Coturnix japonica: one gene and its partners. The protein of the gene in region 1 purifies or fractionates together with the protein of each later gene. This does not show direct contact. Links are inferred from orthologs where the notes say so. Each region holds a gene or a part of one and is shown in the gene's direction. Other genes may lie near its edges.

Region 1 (4,217 bases):
GTTTCTAACAAAATATGAATGACTATCAAATTATGATGCAGTTAAAGTCCTCAATGACATTATGGGTCAGACCTTTTTTTAACAAAAAGAATGATAAGCAGTGTTACTAATCAATCACAAGCATGAGACTACATAAAAAGTTAGAGAGTTGTTAGGGGACTGGTAGGAGAGTAACTCTTGCCAAATACCCAGAAATAATCCTTACATCTAAAGCCTGTAGTTGACTCAGAGCGTGTAAACTGGCAATAGGGGCCTTTAAGAATAAAACTTTAGATGAACTTTCCCTTTATTCATCCCTTGAGACTGCAAGAGTGATCTGAGCATATGCCATTACATTAGGAATGCTCCTCTCCCTTCTCGGCACTCCAAGTCCCAACTACAAAGTGTAAATCTGCATAACTGAATCAATCATTCCCGATATATTTACTCAGGACGATGTGAGTTGTGAAATCGTGGGAAGAAAGAAAACTCCAACTAAAACCAGTGCAATCTTTTCTGAAAATTAGTTTGCTTGCATGAATTACAACAGTACTGAGACCCTAGATGTATCTGTGAAGGGAATTCATTATTGTCTTTTACTGTCCTTTATATTAGTTAGATTTTCCTTGCAAACCTATTTTATGAAAGCTATTTTTACTCTATATGCACAATTGAAGGTTTTTCTCTTATTTTGTCGACTATCCGGCTTGTGAAAAAGGACCATTATGAAAGATGCCCAGCAGCCTTCACTTTTTAAAAAGCAATTTCCCAGCTCTGAGATCAATGAGAAAGATGAGCAGCGTTCTGATGTTAGTGGGCAAATAAAGCACTTAGGCACGCATATCTATAAGTTTAAATGAAGTTGGCAACACCGTTATTTTGACAACGGTTCATTTTCTTCCTGTTTTCTACCAGTTCCTTGTGGGTCCCTTCCAACCCGGGCCGTTCTGTGATTCTATGTGTGACTGTACCGTACCGAGCTTTTGGGACACCGACCCACCGCGTCATTCCGCACACACTGCCGAAGTATCTGCAACTCCGGACGCGAAACTACGTAACCTGGACGAGTTCAGAACAACCTGCATCCCGCAAAAGGATTGCAGAACCCCCCAGCAAGAGCCATCCCTTTGCTCCCTGCCTCTCCCTACGCACTTCAGCAGGGACGAGAAACAGCTCCACGCCGCGTACAACACGTCGAAAGGCGTGCAGGACCTCTCCTCCCCGCCTCTCACGACCCCCGGGCCAGCGCTTCCCCCTGGGTAACAGCTCCGGGTCCCTCCCACGGGACGCCTCGAGGCGGGGGCCGCCGTGCCCGGCGCCGCAGACAAAGGGCGCCCGAGGCGCGGCCAGAGCCGGTCCCGCGGTGCCACCCGGCGGGGCGGAGCCGGGCGGGGCTGCCCCGGGGCGGGGGTGGCGGGGACTATAAAGAGCCGCGTCCCGGGTAGGAGCGGGCTGTGCGCTCGGTGCAGCTCGTGGCGCTTGGGCAGTCCGGATCTAGTCGGTGGCTCAGAGTATGGACAGCAGCATGGACGGCTTGGATGTAAGTGCAGAGGGGAAGCGGGGCGCTAACACTTCATTCACGCTGGCCCGCGTGCGCGCTGTTCGCAATCGGAGTTGCGCCGGGGGCTCGGAGCCGCGTCCCGCCGCCGCTCCGTCCGGGCTGAGCGGGAGACCAGGGAGATGATGCGTCCCACGGAGCGGCGGGGTCTGCAGCCGCCCCCGGAGCCTGCGGGGCGCCCCGGGTGCGTCGGGCCGGGGCTTTGCGGCGTGCGGGGCGTGAGGCTGATGAACTCGCAGCACATGAGGGGTTGCGCGTAGCCAGGTGGCACACGCCCGCCTGCATCGCTTTTCAGCGCGGTGCCCCGAACCGTTGGTGGTTTCCTGATGCGCTTTCATGCCCTCACCAGAATTTCGCTTCCCCTTTCTACCGCCGCTTCAGGGCGGGAACAAAGGGCGGCGGTGAGATGCCCGCTGCCCTCGGGGCTGCCGCTCCCCGGCTCTTGTCCCGTCGCCGAGCTGTCAGTCATTTCTCGGGGGGAATCCTTGATATCATTCTTAATTACATCAGCCGCGGGCATCCTCTCTTTCTCCATGACCCCATTCCCTTAATGAAAAGGAGCCTCGGAGATGCAGAATTACCTAGAGTGATTCTTCTAAGTCTGTGCGTGTCATACATCTGGCTTTGTGAATCTGTAGCACGTATCCCATTAGAGCACTGAAGTCTCCTGAAGGACGGGGGTATTTCTGAAAGTAGGCGTCATCATTCTTTTCTCCCGACCTCAGTTACACGGTCCTACTCCTCAGAGAAACACGGAGGAAGTTTTTCCTTGTCCGGTTTTTGCAGTGTATAGCCAGTGAAATAGAAATTGTATATAAATAGCATTTTTCTGTCTGGGTTTCAAGAAGTTTGTCAGTAGGTGATGGTGAAGACTTGCTGGGACTCTTAGTGTATATAGTGAGCTGTTGTAAAAGAGCCGACATCTAATTTTTTTTTTTACTTATTGTTTTAGCTGTCCTCTGGCATACTCATTGAATTTGCTGACAATGGCTCGGAGGAGATTGGCTCAGCTGACTATGGAGACTATGGAGAGCCGTGCTTTCAGCATGAAAACGCTGATTTCAACCGAATCTTCTTGCCAACTATCTACTCCATCATCTTCCTAACAGGAATAATCGGGAATGGATTGGTTATCATTGTTATGGGCTACCAGAAGAAGCAAAGAAGCATGACTGATAAATACAGGCTTCACCTCTCAGTTGCTGACCTCCTCTTTGTCATCACCTTGCCGTTCTGGTCTGTGGATGCAGCCATAAGCTGGTACTTCGGCAACGTCCTGTGTAAGGCAGTTCATGTCATTTACACAGTCAACCTCTATAGCAGTGTCTTGATTTTGGCTTTCATAAGTTTAGATCGTTACCTGGCAATAGTCCATGCCACCAACAGCCAGCGACCCCGAAAGCTGTTGGCTGAGAAGATCGTGTATGTGGGTGTCTGGCTGCCAGCTGTGCTTCTGACAGTGCCTGACATCATTTTTGCCAGTACGAGTGAAGTAGAAGGACGGTACCTCTGTGATCGCATGTACCCTCATGACAACTGGCTGATTTCTTTCAGATTCCAGCATATCTTGGTAGGACTTGTCTTGCCTGGTCTAATAATCCTGACTTGCTATTGTATTATCATATCTAAGCTGTCACATTCAAAAGGCCACCAGAAGCGCAAAGCCTTGAAGACAACAGTTATCCTCATCCTTACCTTCTTTGCCTGCTGGCTGCCATATTACATTGGCATCAGCATAGACACATTCATCTTGCTTGGAGTCATCAGACATCGCTGCAGCTTGGACACAATCGTGCACAAATGGATCTCTATCACAGAAGCCCTTGCGTTCTTCCATTGCTGCCTCAATCCAATTCTTTACGCCTTCCTGGGTGCCAAATTCAAAACATCAGCACAGAATGCCTTGACATCTGTTAGCAGAGGATCAAGCCTCAAGATTCTTTCAAAAAGCAAACGTGGGGGACATTCTTCTGTTTCTACAGAGTCAGAGTCTTCAAGTTTCCATTCCAGCTAACACTTCCCCTTGCCATCCCTTCATAAACAGACACTTTAAAAGTTGCTCAAGATTTCAGAAAAACAAGACTGACCATAATGTACAGATTTATTTTACCGTTGGAATTTTTTATTGCTTCTTTTAGTCTTTGTGAAGTTTAATTGACTTATTTATATAAAACTTTTGTATTGATAAACTGTCTAGGCAGGTCCTGTGGACAAGTGGTTAGTTCACAAAAGCTCGAGTGTTTGTATAGGTATGTGAACTAAACACCTGGGTTGTAGCAAGTGTGTTAAATGATTAGAAAATATTTCTCTGTTTATATGTAAATGTTTTCAATGTTGTTTAATTCTTAAATATTGGCTGGGTATTTTTGCCTTACTAGATGTTTGGTTTACAATTGCTTAACTGCTGTAGAAATGGCACTTATAACTAAAGCTGCCTCTGTTACATGTTAGGGCTTGTTGTTTTTGTTGGGTTTTTTTCCATTATCAGTAATTGATGGTTGGGCATTTTTTGTTGTTGTTGTTCAAGGTAAATAAAAATATGTGACAAAAAGTTATTTTGAGTGGTATTTTTATTTCTGGTTAAGTGTTTTTTATCAATGCTTATTGTGCATTGAGAATTCAAAGTAAATTCTCTTTGAAAGCTGCATAGCTCCTAAATGAATGAGGGGAAAATGAGTAT
Region 2 (6,152 bases), on another chromosome or scaffold:
CGAGGCACTTGGCTTCATCCTGCTCCACAAACCAGTTAAAAATTCACACAGGTTTCAGACTTGAGTTCAGATTCTGCAGAGTGGGAGAAGTCTGCGAATCAAATACTCACTGGGGTGACCCAATTTCTACTTCACTGAGTCAGTCTGAACACGCAATAACCTGTTACGGCAAACACTCCCTTCTCATCTCAAGGACCCTTCAGCATTACCACATCCAGCGCAACGAGACTGACATCAAGTTCAAAAACCAAACCACAAAGGGACTCTTCACCAGTTTCACGCCCCTGGTAGTTATTTACCCACCGCGCCATTTTCAAGTGCCATATTAAAGCTACTACCTTCACCGCTTCCCCAGAAGAATAAAGAAGTGATTTGTATTTACAACAGGTTAGAGTGCTTTTTGAATGGAGGAATCCTGGAACATTCCATCCCAGATAACAGAAGCGGGCGACATATACGTTGCATAAAACACATGCAGACACACAAGTAAACCACCCCAGGGGGCTGATATGAAGCAAGGACATCCTCCAGATAAAGAAGGCAGAATTACATGCTTTAAACCCATGTCAGGACACACAGTACTAACAAAGGAGTCTTGTTAGAAATAAATCCAAGACAATATGTGTAATGCAAATACCTAAACCCCTACTCAGGTACTGTGGGTTTATTTATTTAACTTCTGCCAGGGTGCACTGCAAGAAGCAGCAGAAAGTTGTAGGGTCGACCCATTCGTGGCCATCCTTGTAGAGGAAACAATGTGATTAAGGGCTCGGGTGGGTTAAAAATACACAAGATACCCATTACCAAGCCATAATTGGTTTTGCACTAATGACAGGCAGAAAGGCCAAATTCACAAAGAGGAATTAAGTCTTCATGAATTCCATTTATGAATAGGATTAGCTATTAATAAACAGGATATTTATTGATCCGAGTTACCAACAGCAACTCACTGCAGGTACATCTGCTAACAGCTCTCCAGTGAAACACATTAACCTCATTCGCGCCATCAGGAAAAGCAGATAAGAAGAGCTCAATACCTTTAATGGAAAACTTACTTTAGTTATCTTAAACATCCAGAAGTCCCAGCTATAAGGTACTTACATCTGTTCCAGTATCCAAGCACACTAATCCATTACATATGTGCATATTCACAGTGCTGTACTAAAGCAACAATGGATTGTTCCTGGTGTATCACAGAATGGCCTGGGTTGAAAAGGACCACGGTGATCATGTAGTTTCAACCCCTGTGCTATGTGCAGGGTCACCAACCAACCAGTCCAGGCTGCCCAGAGCCACATCCAGCCTGGCCTTGAATGCCTCCAGGGATGGGGCATCCACAACCTCCTTGGGCAACCATCAGGAAATTAAGCCAAAAAGAATTTCCTAAGGTCAAAGGAGGGTCCCAGCAGCACTGATGTGGTCTGTGGGGATGAAGTCAAAACCTTGCCTTGTTAGGGTCTTTTGGAGTCACGTATAAATTGAAAGGACAACTTGCAGTCCTATAACTCACTGCTACTATCTCCTTTTGGTTGCATCTCTACTACTTCTAAAAGCACTGAGGTCTCAGAACAGGCCCACAGACATCAAGCCACAAGCCCACATCCTGTTTGCAGCCCTAACCTGGGTGACCAAGTCCCAACCAACAAGGTGTGATCACCAACCAGAAAGCACTGAAGTGATGCAGCAGGGAAGAGGAGCCAAGCAAGGAGAAGGTGGAGTGCAGCGGCTCAACCATTAAAAAAAGCCATCAAAGAAATCAGGAAGCACTGACCTAGGGCAGCTGCGATGAACGATAGTGGCTCCCTTCAAACTGAAGGGAACTGCTCCAAAGGAACGTATTGGTGGGTGAGCAGCAGATCCCAGCCCGCACACACACACACACACACAACTTCCCTATCCCCCACGCCACGCCGCACTACCTGGCCCATGGTGCAGCTGTCAGGGCACAGGAATCCCGCTCCCACCGCTCCGTGTGACTACTCATAGCCATAGGAGCCTAATGCAGCCCCTGTATTGCCCCCCTCCCAGGCTCACGAGGGTCAGCAAAGGCGGCATCCGCAGCAGGCCGCAGCCAGGCCCGCACATAAGGCCTAAGGATCAGCGACCTCCAGCACCGACAGGCACAGAGCAGCTGCTCCCGCACGCCCACCACCCACTGCCCCCACCCATCCCACCGCACCCCACGTCCCCCGGAGCCCACCGACCCCCCCACTCCCGGCGCACACCTCAGACCCCGCGGCCCTCCTCCAGCCGGCACTACGCATGCACGGCGCGCCGCCCGCACGCCCCGCCCAGCGCGGTGCGGTGCCGAAGCTACGCCCAGCCGAGGCCGCGCCCCGCTCCGAGCCGAGCCGATCGTTCCGTGCCGAACCGCAGCGCCCGGCGGGGCGGCACAAAGCGGCAGCGATTCGGGAGCCCGTCCGCGCCTGACGCCGGGTAAGCGGTGCGGCATCGCGGGCTGGGGGCGGTGACGCTGTCGGGAACGGCTCGGGGAAGGGGGGAGGGAAGGAAGGAGGGCGGCGAGGCCGGCTGGGGCGGGGGGCTGCCATCTTGGAGCGGGGAGAAGCCCACGGCGGCTGCGGTGCCTTCGGGACGGCCCTGCGTGTGCCCCGCCCGTACGTGGGACAAAGCTCCGCGGGCACGGGCTGCGGCCGCACCCCCTTATAGCCCCCCGTGTACCCACTGCGGGAGGGCTCTGTGCCCGTCAGAGATAATAGCCGTGCTCTAAGGACGTGGATCCTATTGACTGCGATTAGCTGGTGTTCGCCTGGGAGGGCCCTTTTCGTGCCGGGCTCTTTTGCGGTCCTTATGGGCCCACCTACAGCCCTCAGCTGGGCGTGGAAGCAGCGTGAGGGAGATGGGGCTGGGAACGGGCCCTGCTTGTGCTCAGGGCTGTGCTTGGTTGCCCCAGGTTCGCTCTATTTCCATCCGTTCCGTAACCTTGGGAGGAACTGAGGCTGCTGTGTGTTCGGAGGGTGTCGGTTTTCCTCTCGGGAGCGTTGCTCTGAGCCTTGCAATGCTCCGGTTTCTTCTCCTTTGACCAGAGCACGGTGTCACTGTCCTGAAGCATCTCGGGGTCAGAGGTTGAGGCAGCCAAAGGAAGGTGCTGGGCTGTGTGCTGCTGTTGTCTCCTTCCTTGGGCTTTCACGGTATCCTCAGTCATGAAGCAAGAAAATGGGCTGGGAACGTGCTTTCTTCTGATAAATGTGTATGCAGTAAAATAAGACATGTTTCTTTCTAAGAACAAGGGTGTGAAGAACATCTCGGTGAGTGTGAGACCTGCAGCAGAAGCCTGTGCACCATCAGCCCGTCTTTCCTGTCTTCTAGTTGTGCTTTCAGTGAGCCAAGGGCACCAAGTGGGGCCCTGCCAGCTGCCCACGCTGCCTGCTGCACCTTTGGCATAGTGGTTTTGATCTCGGTGTGCATCCCTTCCATTAGTGCCCGTGCTTGCGATGGGGTTTATGAGGGGCTGGTTCTGCTCTTGGCCAAAGGAGGCCCCTGTGTGGGGTGCTGTGCTGCCTGCAGGCAGCACGGTGTAGGGATCCGATGGCGGATTTGCATATCAAAGCATCAGCGGGTGCTGTGCTCTGGTGATGGAGGCAGGGATGATGGTGAGGCTCGCTGGGGACTGCAGCTTCCCCGGGGCTTTTTTAGTGCAGAGATGAAGTGTGAGAATGGGGATATTTGGAGAACGTGATCGTTTCCAGGTCTGTTAAGGCCTTCTTTAATTAACAGCTGCTTTCCAGGGGGTGGGAGCAAAGGAGAGGGGCCACACATCCCTTTCGGGCCCAAAGCCCCTCTCTCCTCCCATCGGCACCTGCCCTCGGGTGAGTCTACGTTTCCTTCCTGTGCTGGGCTGCATCTCCATCCCTATGGCAACCAAAGCCGGAGTAGCCTTTCCCCATGGCACCGGGTGTTGTGCTGCCCTTCAACAGCCCAGCCCTGGAAGGGACACGGAGGTGCCTTGCCCCAACCCGACCACGCGGTGCCGGGTCTGGCTGGATGGCGGAGGCGGCAGAGAAGGGAGCAGGGAAGGGAGCGGCTGGGCTGTGTCCGTGGGGATGCTGCGTGACTCAGAGGAAGGCCCTTTGTCTGGTGTCAGAGCAGTGCCTCCCGCTCCTCCCAGCTCCCCCGGGGCCTTGCTGGAGCTGGGAGGGCAGAAAGCAAGTGCTTGTCTGCAGGCATGGTTCTGTGTTCATCCCTGGGCAGTGTGTTGGCTGCAGCCACTGCAAGCAGCAGTTTTCATCGTTCTTTTTTGTGCTGGCACATTGTGAGCTCCAGTGGGGACCCCTGGTGCTGTTGGTGCAGCCCCGGGCCTGTAGGTTTGCTTGCTGGCTGGGGTAGCCCTGGTACCTTGTGCTCTGTGATGGATGGATTCCTGATAAATACGAGTGAATAAAAATCCAGGAATTATTTTCTTATGTGTGAGTACACACAGTGCAAGAGAGAGAGGGCAAGATTCGTGTTGCTGGTGCCAGGCCTGTGAAGCAGAGGCTTGCAGTGTGAAATGGCTTTTCTGTCAGGCTGCAGGCCTGTGGTTGGCACTGCCTCCTTGCTCTGCTCTCCCGGCCTGGAGCTGGGCGTCTGCCCTCTGCTCCAGATACAGATCAGCTGCAGCAGGCAGAAGCTCCCTTACAAATGGTGAGATGTGAATGATTTCCTCTGTGCGTCTCTGCAGCGTTTGCTCCTTTTTGCTAGGCTCTCTCTAAGTGAATGCGATAGCTCAACAGTGCTGCAAATGCTTCCATTCTCCCTGCTGCTCCTGCATGTCGTAGAATCATAGAAAGGCTTGGGTTGCAAGGGACCTTGAGGATCATCAAGCTCCAACCCCCCTGCTGTAGGCAGGGTCACCAGTCTCCATATCTAATACTAGAACAGACTGCTAAGGGCCCAGTCCAACCTAGCCCTGAACACCTTCAGGGACAGGGCATCCCATGTCAGTGCTGTTTGCCTGCCCATCTCCCTGCTCTGCCTCCACAGGATACTAGTGCTCTCTCAGGGCCGGGTTTGTAGAGGCTTGGTGCTGGCAAGGTGGGGATCCTCCTGTCAGAGCTCTCAACATCTCCCAAGCTAAGGTGTCCTATCAGCACTAGGAGGCAATGGCTGCAGGCAGGGCTCATGTCTGACTATACTTGCTGTCTTCTGCAGGTGATTCCTCAGCATCTAAAACCCAGCAGCCACCAAAGAGTCCCTCTTTATCCATGCCTGGAGAAGGCACTGTGAGCTTTCACTGCCTTGTTTTTCTTGTCCTATTCTGATGTGTGCTTCTGCTCCTTCCTCTGGAGGTGCTCCTGCTAAATTCCTTGCAGACCTCAGCTCTGGGTGGCAGCCAGTGGAGTTCTAGCTTTTACTTGGTGCTTTCATAAATTAAATAGGGGCTGTTAGTAGGCTCTGTTCCTGGTCCCTTCAAAGCCAGAGAATGAGACAATCTTAGTACTGTCTGTTACTTTGTGGAAACATAGATGGCTGCAGGTCTCACCTCATGCTTGAGGTAGTCATCATCATCTGGTATCTCCTGCTTGAAGGTCAAGCAGAGCCTTGTAGTACTGCAGGGCTGTGGAGGGTATTTGCTTCTGACTTGGTAATAAATCTAGTGCCATGGGTGTAGGGAAGATCTTAAGAGATGCATCCCTCAGCTCTTTGTGAACCACTGGGCTCTGAAGGCTCTCAGGTGTTGCTGGTGAGGCTGACATCTTCTCCAGGGTGACTGTGTGTTCAGGCTGGTGATTTGGTTTGGCTGGGCTCCTCTCTATACTTGAGGCATAGACCTGCTAACAAATTACTGTGTGCCTGTTAAACTGCAGTAACTGCCCAGGGGTTCATTGTTACTCAGTGTAGAAAGGCAGTTCACTTGACGTGAGTTGCAATGTTGTGAATCTGGAGGAAGGAACTTTGTGCTGGACACAAATCAATGTGAAGACTGGCTGCAGCAGGGAGGATCAGTGCTGTTGGACAAAGAACTGGCTGAGTGGAGAAGAGCAAATGAAAGGTGACATTAAGTGGGAACTCTGTCTTCACCTGGAACAGAAGGTCAGGGGTGATAAGGGATTTAAGAGGAGTTAATTTTAAAAAGTGAATCCAAGCACAAGTGAAGTAAAAACAGGTGATGACTGTTTAAGTCAATTAGATATGATCAAGTGGATGAAGCCTTA
Region 3 (6,226 bases), on another chromosome or scaffold:
CGGTAGGTTGTGGTGATTCTGCCCCTCTGCTCTGCTCTTGTGAAACCCCACCTGGAGTACTGCATCCAATTCCAGTAAGCTCCCAACACCAGAAGGACATGGAGCTGTGGGAGCACATCCAGAGAAGGACCATGGAAATGATCAGAGAGCTGGAGTACCTGCTCTAAGAGGACAGGCTGAGAGAGCTAGGGCTCTTCAGCCTGGAGAACAGAAGGTTCCAGGGGGACCTTACAGTGGCCTTCCAGTACCTGAAGGGGCCTACAGGAAAGGTGTGGAGGGCCTTCTTATAAGGGCATGTAGTGATAGGACAAGGGAAAATGGCTCTCAGCTGGAAGAGAGCAAATTTAGACCAGATATCAGGAAGAAATTCTTTACTGTGAGGATTGTGAGACACTGGCACAGGTTGCCCAGTGAGGCTGTGGGTGCCCCCTATCTCAAGGTGTTCAAGGCCAGGCTGGATGGGGCTGTGAGCAACCTGGTCTAGAGGGAGGTGTCCCTGCCTATAGCAGGGGGTTGGAGTGAGGTGACCTTAAGGGTCCTTTCCAACCCAAACTATTCTATGATTCATTCTATGATTCTGTTTCACACATCCCAGCATCAGCATTCCCTATCATTTCCCAAAAAAAATCCCCAGCAGATTTGTTGTTTAATGTTCTTCAGTCCCAGGAAAAAATCACATTCAGCTTTCTGTGTGGGAAGACAGTAACGATCTTCCCAGTATCTTATCCTCCCTTTAAAACATCCTGTTTTGGATGACTGTGTCATTTCCTTTCCCAAGACAGCTAATCACTTCCTCCTGGTTCTCTGATTATGCACTGGAGATCAATTGAATGATAAAATAATTAAGTGTCTTTGTTTTACCCTTTAATTAGATTACTTGGAAGTAATAACAATGTCTTGCCAACCTTGAAGGTTTTGTTCAGTTAGCAGGAATTAATTGATATTTTCCTACTGATATTTTCCTAAATCCCCAACCAAAGAAATCAATACTGATTTTAAAGGTGGTTAGAAGTATGCACGCTCTACCACCACACTATGTCTATGTTCACAAGTGAAAACAACTGATTATAAGGCAGCACGAAAAATAATCTCTTCTTAAAGATGATAATTTCAAAATAAGTTTGATCTTAAATTATAACTCATTCTCTGCAGCAATGATCCAGTTAAAACAAATTCCAGGAGACTTGTTTTTAAGAAGACTTGCTCTATAGATGTTTACAAAGTACTTTGAAATGCAGTCATAAAGAAAATGCTGTGAAAATGAAATATTCGTACACCTCTAAATCAGCAGCTGCACAAAACCTTAAGGCAGGCAGAAGTGTTAAGCCGTTATTAAAGATTTAAAGTAGCTTAGCAGCTAATCGAAATTGATGACATCTGATGACTACTCAACAGTCACTGTATGATATTTGCTTGGGGCTGTGTCTAGCCCAGAACAGGTAATTGTTCACACCATCAGAATTGCTTCCATGGTCACCATGGTCCCTTCAGTACCAGGACTGCCTTTTTGTTGTCGACACAGTGAAGTCCAAAATGAATGTGGATAAAATCTCAAGAAACTCAACAAAGATAAATGGTCCAAGATCTGCCTCTGGAAGGGAGCAGCCCCAATTCAACAGGACACACTGGGGGCAAGTGCTTGGAACACAGTTTGGTGGAGGAGGTGCTGGGGTCGCTTCTGCCACTGAATTAAATTCATCTGCATTTGCTACCTCAGTCTGGTGTTAAGTCATTATTCGGTGTTGGTGTAGCAGCTCATATAAAGGCTGTGATTTGTAACAGGGAAAATTCTGAAAGAGTTTGAATGGGATGATTTCACAACATTCATCTTGTCCTGGAAGCAGAAAATCATCAGTGGTGTGTGCACCCGGAATGCATTCTTTATGGATGTTACAGGTAACACTGGTGGAACTTGACTTGAAGCATCAAAAGCTGGAAAATAGAAAAAGAGATTAGGGTTGTTGATGCTGAAAAAACATTTTTAGCCCCAGTGCAAGTTACAAATGGAGGAAAAATATTGATAACAGAGAATTTACATGGTGTATCTGAAAAGTGATACTGAATGTCATTAATCCACATCTGCCTTAGCAGATGTGATGCAAACAGGGCGCTGGGTGCTGTCCTGCTGGGGAAAGCAGCCAGAGCTGCGTGCTGGCCTGGGCTTCACCTGCAGAGATGCTGCCTTAGTTGTGCTGTGTGAGCTGCCCTGTGTCCGTCGCTGTGTGTGACCCGCCGATCACTTCGGCCGCGCACCCGACAACCCACCCCGCCGGGCGACACCGCGGGGCGCACTGAGCATGCGCGGAGCATGGCGCGGCGCACGCTGGGAGTTGTAGTCACCTCCACCCCGTGGCGGCTCCGGCGACTCCGCGCGTGCGCAGATTGCGCCCGACTTTGGAAAGTCGCTGCCTCGGGTTGGGTCGGAGCGGCTGCCATCTTGGCCGAGGGACGGAGGAGCTGAACGGCGCCGTGCGCGGTGAGGGGAGCGGGCTCTGCAGCACGGGCAGGGCAGGAGGGAGGAGGAGGACGAGGACGAGGAGGAGGACGAGGAGGCGGGGGGTGGCGGCGGGGATGGGAGCTCCAGGGGCAGCGCTGCGGCTCCGCCGATCTCCTCGGCTCTGGGCGGGGGGCGCGGGGACCCCGCGGTTGTAGGCCCGGCCGCCTGAGGGGCTCCGGCCCCACGGAGCTTCACCGAGCGGCCTCGGCGCGCCGCGCTGTCCCCTCCCCGCCGGGCCGAGCCGGGGGCCCGGCCGCAGCCGGCGGTATCGCTCCGTGCCTGCGGCGGCGGTCCCGGGACCTCTGGCCTGTGTGTGGGGCTGCACGGCTCCTGCACGAGCCCACATCCCCCGGCCCCGCTGTTCCCCGGCAGCGCGTGTCGCCGCCCCGCTCGGCCTCCGCCATCCTGCCCGGGCTCCCGGGAGCCGGGACCGGTCACTTGGCCCTTTCGGCGCTCCGGGATCGCTCCCGGCCCAGGCGCTGCTTCTCAGCGGCAGTTCCGCAACACGGCCCCTTCCCTTTGTATTCAGCCCCGTCCTGTCTGTCTCTCGGGGTCTCGGCCGGGGGAGGCTGCTGTGTGGAGTTCTTTGCTTTGTTCCTGTGGGATAACAGCTGTGCCATGAAGCAGCGTTTCCCAGCACGAGTGTGGTTGGAGGTGTGTGTTCCCTCTTGCTGTTGCCGCCGCTTTATTTTGGAAACACGGCCGAGTTCTGGCTGTTAACTCTCCTGCTTCCTCACAGGGGTCTGTGACCTTGTGTGGCAATAACAACCAAGCACGAGTGGAAGGTGCCGTCTGAGGGTGTGAACGCCTTTATTAGATTGGCTCTGAAATCCAGGAGTTCAGCTTGTTGCGATAGGTGTAATCTGTGATGTTAAACTGATAAACAAGCTTAGCATCTATGTATGTGGGGAGAGAAAACCGAGTGTAGCAGTTGGGCCATCTGTTGTCATTTGCGTGGCATTCTTTACCCTTGAAGCTTCGGAAGATGTTCCCAGAGAAGTTAATCTTTATAGCTCAGGTAGGATAGAAAGGATCACAAACAGTTCTCTTTGTGAAACATTCTTTTTCTCAGTGTTCCTCATTGCTCTTTGTTTTAATCTCTGCCCCTTTACCCTCATCCTTTTGGCAGAGGAAGGAGGAGAAATGTGAACTGGGATTCCTGAGAAGACAATTAGTATCGAGAGCCAGTTGGCTGGCAGTTGGTCCAGCTACTGCTTGAATTGACCCGAACAAGTTATGCATAAAGAAGAATGAAACATCGGCTGCAATCTGTCATTAGCTCAGTGGGTTTTATTGCCTTTCAGACATCTTGTTTGAAGAACAAATTTTAATTCTTTCTTCTTCTAGTGAAAGTCCAAAGCAGTTCTAATTTAATTACAGTTATATTACTCTTTGCTACAGCCATTTGAATCCGAACTTGGTCTACTGTGCGTTCTTAGTTGTGGTTTGACTGACAGCTTTAATCACTGCTCTGGATACGTTCACCTCCAAGTGATCATCAGAGCAATATGCGGCATTCTAACCTGGAGTGAGTTTTCTTGTATTAAAACAAAGAACTGATGCCGTATGTGTAAGAGGTGACGTTGCAGTGGAAAATAACTGAGACTTCTGAGTGCTAACTTTGAAAGCTTCTTACAGATTAAACAGTTATTTTGGGTCTTAAGAGAGATCGAGAGATTATTCGTATGAATTTATAAGTTAACAGACATCGCCTCGTTTTCTTCACTCTATTTTTGTTCCTGTTGTAAAGTTAAGGGTGTTTTATGTGTGTGTGTGATGAGCCATTTCCTGAAATACAGAGTTGTTTGGTTTCTTTGGTTGGACGTTTCAAAACAGCTTGTGAGAGTGAACTGCAGAGCTGAGCAGCAGGTGGGAGGGCAGGTATTAGAGCAGCGAGGTGCTTCTCTTGGAGGCTTTGTTTCTCATTGTTTCTAAGAAAACTTGCATTAGGGCTGCTTGAAAACAGTGTTAAGTGAGGCTGAAAAAATGTTTGCATCTGCAGGAGTTAGATAATTTAATGGCATTATCGGTATCAGTCAGTGACAGAGTCTACAGAAACATCTGTAAATGCGAGAGATATATAAACAAAGTAGTAAACATACTCAACCCTGTTAAAATGCTTTCTGTATTGCAGCAAAAGCAATACAGTTTGTCCTAAAAAATAAAGGAAAAGATGTCAGTGGGGTTAAAGCAGGAGGGGAGCGCAATGCTGGAGCTTCTGGGTGCGCTGTCACTGATGCTGCTCGTTGTTAAGCCTTTCTGTTTGGCAGTCCAGTTGTGTTCATTTAATGTTCTAATTTCTGTCATTCTGTGTGTAAGTGGAGGAACTCCTTTGAGCCCTCACAGCTAAGGAGCGTGAATGTGCAGGTATGTCTTGGAGCAGAGCACTTGCCTGGGTCGATTTCAGTAACTGTTCTTTGTTGTGCTGTAGGTGAGCTTTGAAGTGAGGGCTCACCTCAGAAGAGGAAGCAGACAAGCCGGGATTACAGTCTTGCTTGGGAGGATTGTTTGGCTTATTTTACTTTTTACTGCCTCCCAAATTAAGTATTTTTAATGATTTTAGGCCATCAGCTTGTTTGTGTTTTTGTGCTGTGGAATGGCTGTCACCAGAGCTAATTCTATGCCTGCCTTCTGGAGAGGGAATGGTAGTTTCTCTTCATGCCTTTTGTATGAGAAAAATAGCAATAAGGACCTGAGTGTTGTGTAAGTGATTGGCTTCCAGCTTTTACTTCATCGGGCAGAGTTGTGCAGCTGAGGGATTGATCTTTTTCTTCATCAGAATTGCAAATTACACTTTATAGAAATGAAAATAATGCGACAGACAGGGAAAGAGCATTTTAAAGTAACCAAGGCCCTGTTTCTTAGGGCCCCCTTTTAAGTTATGCCTGGAATTTCTGCTTTAACTATAGTGGGACATAGAACAAACTTCCTGATAAACATCAAGGATTTTCCCCCCTCTGAGGAAACACGATCTGAGATGTTGTTACGCTGGTTATTCAAATCTTTTGTCCTTTAAAATGAACCAAACCCAACAGTACAACCCGGCGCTATGTTAGTGTGCTATTCCCTTTTAAAAAACATTTTATGCCAGTCCTCCCATTTAGGAACTGATAACGCCTGCCTTCCGCCCACCTGCCTGAGCTATTCTAAACTGCTCCTGGAAGGTGCCTATTGTTTCAGTGCAAAGCAGCAGTACTTACATGTTTGCATTTAGATCTGTGATTCTGAAGTTCGGAGCTTAGATTTAAATAGTGGTGTCACTGAGCAGAAGAGGCCTATTTGCTTCAGGTGGATCATTGAAGTATTGCTGTGTGAAACACTGTTTCTTGTTGAAAAGGGGGAATGCTAAGTGGCATCGTTTCTGGAGCTGTGCTGATCTCAGGTATTAGGCTGGGTGGGTTACGATACAGAACCTGGGACTCTTAAGAGAAGGTGGTTGAGCTCTGTAAAATCTTTGTTCTCTGTGCTTACTTTTATTTATAGATGTAGGTTTTTGTCAGGGGCTGGGTGTATTTTTTCTCTCAGCGTTAGCTAAGATACCTGGTAATCTTTGAACTTATACAAAGAGAAAGTAAAACCAGATCAGGTCTAAGAGACCTTGAATAGAGAAAAACAACTTAAAGACATAAGCTACACTCCGCATCTCATTTATTCATTATGTTATGAAATGGAAAGTGATTTGCAGTGTAATATTCATCGAGAGTATAAGCTTGTAGCAGGTAGCATGTT

Evidence for each region.
Region 2: the proteins of CXCR4 (region 1) and TMEM63B purify together in Homo sapiens (co-immunoprecipitation; 3 studies listed by BioGRID and IntAct, with this or other methods). This does not show direct contact. The link is inferred for Coturnix japonica from reciprocal best matches to the Homo sapiens genes CXCR4 and TMEM63B.
Region 3: the proteins of CXCR4 (region 1) and ITCH purify together in Homo sapiens (affinity purification with western blotting; 5 studies listed by BioGRID and IntAct, with this or other methods). This does not show direct contact. The link is inferred for Coturnix japonica from reciprocal best matches to the Homo sapiens genes CXCR4 and ITCH.

The regions. Positions count from the first base shown.
Region 1 is NC_029522.1:27,930,101-27,934,317, reverse strand, and holds CXCR4 (C-X-C chemokine receptor type 4), read left to right. Parts: upstream 1-1,417; 5' UTR 1,418-1,492; coding exon 1,493-1,519; intron 1,520-2,489; coding exon 2,490-3,551; 3' UTR 3,552-4,082; downstream 4,083-4,217.
Region 2 is NC_029518.1:27,288,676-27,294,827, reverse strand, and holds the start of TMEM63B (CSC1-like protein 2), read left to right. Parts: upstream 1-2,318; 5' UTR 2,319-2,436; intron 2,437-6,152. UniProt on the Homo sapiens protein: Mechanosensitive cation channel with low conductance and high activation threshold. Osmosensitive cation channel preferentially activated by hypotonic stress.
Region 3 is NC_029535.1:1,378,460-1,384,685, reverse strand, and holds the start of ITCH (E3 ubiquitin-protein ligase Itchy homolog), read left to right. Parts: upstream 1-2,360; 5' UTR 2,361-2,476; intron 2,477-6,226. UniProt on the Homo sapiens protein: Acts as an Acts as an E3 ubiquitin-protein ligase which accepts ubiquitin from an E2 ubiquitin-conjugating enzyme in the form of a thioester and then directly transfers the ubiquitin to targeted substrates.